2 linked regions of the Rattus norvegicus genome follow. Each later gene encodes a partner of the first gene's protein in a complex. Links are inferred from orthologs where the notes say so. Each region holds a gene or a part of one and is shown on either strand. Other genes may lie near its edges.

The links.
Region 2: the proteins of Insr (region 1) and Grb14 are in contact, whole or in part, in a crystal structure (PDB 2AUH), measured with the Homo sapiens proteins. The link is inferred for Rattus norvegicus from reciprocal best matches to the Homo sapiens genes INSR and GRB14. Residues at the interface, in NP_000199.2 of Homo sapiens: Leu1065, Arg1066, Ile1069, Glu1070, Lys1112, Arg1116, Arg1163, Met1180, Arg1182, Tyr1190, Lys1192, Gly1193, Gly1194, Lys1195, Gly1196, Leu1197, Leu1198, Pro1199, Val1200, Trp1202, Ser1207, Leu1208, Lys1209, Asp1210, Gly1211, Gln1235, Asn1242, Glu1243, Leu1246; in NP_004481.2 of Homo sapiens: Glu373, Asn374, Ser375, Leu376, Val377, Ala378, Met379, Asp380, Phe381, Ser382, Ser386, Val388, Ile389, Glu394, Val398, Ala399, Glu401, Glu402, Gly403, Leu404, Trp406, Arg407.

What each region holds. Positions count from the first base shown.
Region 1 is NC_086030.1:5,994,444-5,997,398, reverse strand, and holds the end of Insr (insulin receptor preproprotein), read left to right. Parts: intron 1-1,106; coding exon 1,107-1,461; 3' UTR 1,462-2,357; downstream 2,358-2,955. UniProt on the Homo sapiens protein: Receptor tyrosine kinase which mediates the pleiotropic actions of insulin.
Region 2 is NC_086021.1:69,990,726-69,994,549, reverse strand, and holds part of Grb14 (growth factor receptor-bound protein 14), read left to right. Parts: intron 1-870; coding exon 871-981; intron 982-1,170; coding exon 1,171-1,266; intron 1,267-3,824. UniProt on the Homo sapiens protein: Adapter protein which modulates coupling of cell surface receptor kinases with specific signaling pathways. Binds to, and suppresses signals from, the activated insulin receptor (INSR). Potent inhibitor of insulin-stimulated MAPK3 phosphorylation.

The sequences.
Region 1 (2,955 bases):
CTGACGAGACCCTTTGTACTAGCTCTCACCGCTAGGGAATACCCAAGAAGTTCTACTTCAGTGGGGAGAGACTGAACCGTGGTTCACCATTTCAGAGGTCTCAATCCATGCCACTTGGCTCCACTGCTCCTGGAGTGGAGCATTTTCCTTGGAATGAGCTGGAAACTCGCCCCCTGTGTTTAGCCCATACAGTTGAACCTGCCAAGGCTCCCCAGGGGTCTTTAAGCCTTGAATGACCATTGGGTCTCTGCAAGTCGCCCCAGGTAGGAATGATCACAGCAAATACCGAGGCGTCAGAGACGGGGGACACATATTGTGCTAAGTGATGTACGTTCAGTGTCTGAACAGTTTCCGTCCTTTCTTTTCCCTGTTGTCATAGTGAAACCAATTTAGGGGAGGAAGGATTTAGTTGGATCACTGATGGGCAAGTCAAAGTAGGAACTCAAGCAGCTAGTCACATCACGCCCTCTGTCAAGAGCTGAGGGAGATAAGTGTGTGGAACGGTGCTCGCTTGCTCTCGACACTCTCACAAAGTTAGGAACCCCCTGCCCAGGGTGTGGTGTTATCCACAGAACTGGGTCTTCCCACATCAATTAACAATCAAGACAAACCCCCCAGAGGTATGTTCATAGCCCAACCTAATCTAAACGTTTCCTCAGTGGGCCTCTTTTCCCAGTTGACAGCTTCTTGGGCTCCATTATGTGATTCCCCTTCCCATCTCTTTCCTTTCCCCTTCCCCTTCCTTCCTTTCCCTAATATTTCCTATCTCCCCTTCTTTTCTTCCTCTCCTCTGCCGACCTTCTTTCTCCAGTGAGCTTTGTCCCTCTTGGTACTTAAAGGCACCGGTCTCACTAAGGTGCCCAAACTGGCCTGAAAGTCTCTCTAACCTGACAAACCTCGAATTCACAGTCCTCCCGCCTCACCCTTCAGAGTAGCTGAGATAACAGGCATGTACCACCCCGTCTGGCTGGCTCGCTTTTCAAAACCGGCTTTCAGTCCCGCTAGAATTGTTGATCCAGCCTTTACTGTCCGCTCTGCGTACAACCACAGCCAGGGCCAAGGCTCCCCTGACTTAAACGTATCCGCCCTGGTTCCTGTCTCCACAGCACTGACCTGATGCGCATGTGCTGGCAGTTCAACCCCAAGATGAGGCCGACCTTCCTGGAAATCGTCAACCTGCTCAAGGACGACCTCCACCCCAGCTTTCCGGAAGTTTCCTTCTTCTACAGCGAGGAGAACAAGGCTCCCGAGAGTGAAGAGCTGGAGATGGAGTTCGAGGACATGGAGAATGTCCCCTTGGATCGTTCCTCTCACTGTCAGAGAGAAGAGGCTGGATGCCGGGAGGGAGGGTCCTCTCTGAGCATCAAACGGACCTATGATGAACACATCCCCTACACCCACATGAACGGGGGCAAGAAGAATGGGCGGGTCCTCACCCTGCCGAGGTCGAACCCTTCCTAACAGCGCCTGCTCGCTCGGGGAAGGATTCTTTTCTTTTCTTTCTTTCTTTTTAAAAACTCTTCTGTAGTTTGACTGCCTCCAGGAAACTCAGGATTATCGGGACTCTACCCAGATGTGAAACTGAGCTCACAGATAGTTCGTACACATTTCTGTTTGTCTTTGGACCTGAAAACACACAGGTGTGGTCGCCAACCCTGCGAGCCTGTGGAGGGCTAACTGTGAACCTAGAGGGGTTGGGGTTTCCATACTCCCTTCCCTGCCCCCACGGTATCAAACCAAGATTTTATTGTTGTTGCTGGTGTTTTCCTCATAGATTGGAAGGATGAACCTGTTTTTACAGTTTTTTTTTTCTGCTAGTGTCTGAGTTATAGTTAGTTGTCAAAGACAGACTTTATTTATGGAGCACAAGTCAGAAAGCAAAGAAGAAACAGACAGAAAAACAAAACAAAAACCAAACCTGACCTACAGAACCCAGTTCTGGAATTGCGTGCTTTCGCGGGGTTGGGCTTTGAGAAGGTTTCATTAATCTGAGAGAAGGAGCTTATTTTATTTTAGTTTTGTTTTGTTTTTTTCCTCATTCACAAAATCAGTTCCTCAAATTGACCAATAGCTGCTGCTTTCATATTTTATTATTTTGGGAAAGGGTGTGTACTCCTAAGTGTGTGCTCATCTGCACACCTGCGTGCATTTGCGTGTGTGTTGTGTCCAGGTTAGAGATCACAGGGTGGGGTGGGGGCTGTGTGTATGTTACATTTTTCTCTGGACTGATGCTTGGTGACTTGGCTCATGAAGCACCCGCTGCTTGGAGTGGGTGACCTCATATTGTCCTCTTCCTTCTTATGAACCGAGAGCTTGTGCCCTCGAGAGATTCTCCTCAGTCACGTCAGAACTCGCTCAGGTGTCTTCTTCCCCTTCCCTTTGGTGATGATTTCCAAAAACAGAGGGATGATTATTTGGTCTGGATTCATGGAGGATCTTTGGAAGATCAAACAAAGGACATGCATGCACGGGCGCACACACACACACACACACACACACACACACACACAGATACACACACAGACACACACACACAGACACACACACAGACAGATACACACATACACACACACACAGACACACACACAGTAGAAGGAAGTAAGGCAACAAGTTTGAGAATATATTGGTAACATATTTAAAGCTTATGGGATCTTTGAGATGAGCCTAATAAGTTATTATTTCCTTGGGAGCAGGGGAAGTGGTGGGCACATCTGCCTGTGTGGGGAGACGGGACAATACATGAGTGGCCTCTGTGTTCGGTCTTTGAAACACATGTTTTGTTTTGTTTTGTTTTTTTCTGGGAATTATACCACATTAGCTGCTAGCCTTTTAGGACTCGGTGAGTTCTTGTGGATTTGTGGGTAACTGGATTTTTGACTGGTTCAGATAGTAACACTGACTGGATGTTCCTTGCTTGGATACACTGGTGGTTACCTGGGGCCGAGGTGGCCTTCC
Region 2 (3,824 bases), on another chromosome or scaffold:
CGAACACTGTGTAGAGGAGACCATTTAGGATCTTGATAAAATGCAGGTATTGGTTCGGTGGGCCTGGTGTGGCACTGAGACTTTACCTTTCTAACAAGCTCCAGGTGAGACTGGTTCTGTGGTTCAGTGCCCACACTGCTAGTCGCAAGGTTTCGCATTTTGGCCAGTTTTGATTATATAGTCAACCTCAGAATTAAGCACTTCTCCAAGTTATTAACCTATCAGGTAGTACTATGACCCAGTGATTTCCTATGGCCAGTTCCAACTCTCTCAGGTTTTCCAGAGAAGAAATAGCTGCTCGTGATTTCCCTTTGCCCTGACAATCAAACGCATTCCATCCCAGGTAATTTCCCTGAACACTTCCGAGCAGCCTCCTCTCCTTTTGTGGAACAAGATGGCCACACAGTCTGCTGTCAGCACACACACATGTGTGGGGTGGGTGTATCTGAAAGAAGCAGGATTTTCTTCTTCTTTTTTCCATCTCCTTCTCAAGAACCAACCACTCGACACTGAGATGACAGAAACGCTTTCAAAAAACCCTTGCAGGCCTCTGCTTTTTTTTTAGTTTGACACAACCATTAATGAGAACTGGAAAGTTAAAGTAGGAATTTGTCTGTTATGAGAAGCAGAATTATAAACTGCCCCTTGTCAATTTAAATGAAATTGTATGCAGCTCTTGGTTATTTAAGAAAATGGTAATCCCCTTTACTCTTGGCTTTTCTTGTGACACTACTGTGGAATTTTGCTTGAGGTCGCATTATTTTTGGCTGAGGTATAAATTGTGCAATATGAGAAACACAAAAGATATTGTGGAACTGTGCCTCCAAGTCAATGTCATTCACATATTATTATTATTATTATTTTTTAAAGGAACCACGGCACTTGCAGTTTTTCAGTGAATTCAGCACTAGTAATGTTTACATGTCACTGGCAGGCAAAAAAAAGCATGGAGCGCCGACTCCCTATGGATTCTGCTTTAAGGTACAGGCTTAATGTTCTGCGGATGGGTAACGGAAGGCCTCAGCCTCTTAGGGAAGCTTGAGTTTCTTTTGATTTCTTTAAAAGAGATAGAGTTCTCTTATGTATAGGAGAATTTTAGTGGCTTTTATTTCAACAGGTGTTGCCTTCAAGATATGCATTAACAATTAATAATGTGCTGTGGCCTTCTAGCCTACCAAAGCAGGAGGGCCCCGGGACCTGAAAATGCTGTGTGCAGAAGAAGACCAAAGCAGGATGTGCTGGGTGACCGCCATTAGATTGCTCAAGGTAATCTCTCAAGGTGGGTGGGTGCTTGTGAACTGCTCTGACATCCATAAGCGTTTAAAGACACATCTCCTTTCCAATGTGAAGATGTTCCACTCGTCTGTGTGGCTGTAAGAGAGAAAGAAAGATAATCACTGCTGTCTTTAGCCTAAGAGGTGAGCATGCAGACTGGAGCGATGTACCCTAACCTGGGAGTCTTTTGTGGGGGAAGTAGGTATTCTGTTTCTAGAAATGACTTTTTATTGTTGGTCTTGTATATGTAGCTTGTGTAGCTGAGTGATGGGACTCCTGTACACAACTTAGCCGTGTTTGTAAAATTGCCCCAAAATCACAGAGAATTGTATTTAAAAAAATTTCCCCCTTGGATATTGCTAATTAGAATAATTTTACATTCTCTCTCCCCCTCTCCTTCTCCTGCTCCTGCCCTCTCCCTCTCCCTCTCCCTCTCCCTCTCCCTCTCCCTCTCCCTCTCCCTCTCCCTCTCCCTCTCTCTCTCTCTCTCTCTCTCTCTCTCTCTCTTCCCTTTGAGAATTTTCTACATCTTTTGATCACTTGATTGTTTTCTCCATTCTTCCCCCTGACACACCCTGCTTCCCTTCCAACCCACAACTGTGTACATCTCCCTGCACCCCCCAAGCCCCCCCCCCCCCGCATCCCCGCACCCCGGTCCATAAAGCCAGTTTCTTCTCCGGGAGTGTTCTTAGATGTGTGGCTTTCCGCTGAAGCGTGGTCAACACTCTTAAACAGCACTAACCGCCCCCCTCTTCCAGCAGCAACTGCTTTATTAGCTGCTTTGCAACTTAATGAGTGCAGCTGAAATTGGGGCACACATTTGGTTTCTAATGTGTTTTTGAAGCATACCTTGTATGCCATGTTGACATTAAAATTTTGTTAGTATAATTTTTTGATGACATTTTTTGAGGAGTGTTGGTATGTTCCAAAGGTAGATTAAAAAATAGAGTGGACGCAGACTGGTTTCTTCCAAATTGTGTTGGAAACACATACGTAGGAGCCATTACAGTGACTCAAAAATAAGAGAACTTGTCCCAAACATAATGACCTGAGTTTGACACCAGAGACCCAAAAAGTTGTCTTTTACCTCCAAAGGCATATGCGAACACTTGCCTGGACTCATGCAAGTGCAAACACACAATAAATAGGTAAAAAATGCAAACAATAATTTTTAAAAGCACATTTATTTTAAAGTGTTTATTCCAGTAAACTTGCTACAACTTTGATTTCCTAATTATGGAAATGATCAACCATTTCCTTTTGAAAATGCTGCTTTGTTAGTAATATTTGTGGAAATTACCAAAAAAATTGTTTTCATTGAAAAAGGCACAACCCCCAGACTATGTCTGCCTATGCGGTCAGTTCTCCATGGCTACGGAGGTTCACAAATATGTGGATTACTACCGTTTTTAAATCTTTCTGATGAAATGGAAGTTTCAACATATTCTGAGACATTCTTCACAATTCATACTTGAGAACTGTGTATGATTTGCCAATGTTTAAATCACATGTATTATGTTAATTATGTACCACATGTGATCATGTATCATGGCAATTTATATATTAGCAGAGAAAGATTTAGATAAGTGTATATTAAAACCATCTTTTTGCTGCATTCAGAAATAAGCATTAGAGAAGACCTAGACTTGTTTGGAATGTTTAGTGTCCCCATTTTCTTTCTTCTGTGGCAGAAATGCAAGAGGAAGCTTATTGGCTTCCCTCTTGGTTTACATGTAGAGTATGTTCTGGGACCTGTGTTAGTTATGGTGTTCTTACTATCTTTACTGTGTTAACCCTTTCCTGAGAGTGAGATAGGAGTGAAGACAACAGAGTAGAGAGAACTGGGTCGTGTCATGCTAGGTGCAGAAGGAAGCTTTATTTTGTAGTTTTCAAGATTTTAATTGAGTTCATCAAGTTATCTTAATATGAACAATTTATGTTTCATGCATTCAGTATGTTGTGCAACCATAACTTCCCTTTGGGTTTAAAAGAAGATAGTGTTGTCGAGAAGGAGTTTCTTGCAGGCCCTGATAGCCACTGATCTGAGCTGTCTTTATGAGTTCACCTATTCCGTGAGTGGAATGATATATAAACTCCTCTACATTGGCATTTGTGTCAGAGACACAAGAGTCACTGGAATGTGGTGACTGGCTGGCTTACCAAGTCTACAAGCTTGCAGTTCAGTGAGCAAGACATGTCTAGAAACAAAATGGAAACTAATTGAGGAAGACTCAGGGTGTGAACTCCTGGCTTCCAAATGCGTGCATGCCCACATGTGTGCACTCATCTACATACAAAATCACACAGACACATGAACATACACACTGACCTAAGCTGCACAGGAGAAATTCTTTTTTTTTTCTTTGGAAAATACTCTAGTTATATAGAGGAGTATAGAAAATCTGAAGCTCAGAAAGGAGAATCATTGCTTTCTGAATTGTTCTGTATCCTGGTTAAGTGTCAGTTCTTTCTGTTCCCATCAATTAGAACTCGGCCAGCTTCTCTCTAGCCTAGTTTGGTGCCTATCTGCCCCTCCATGGGACAGGCAA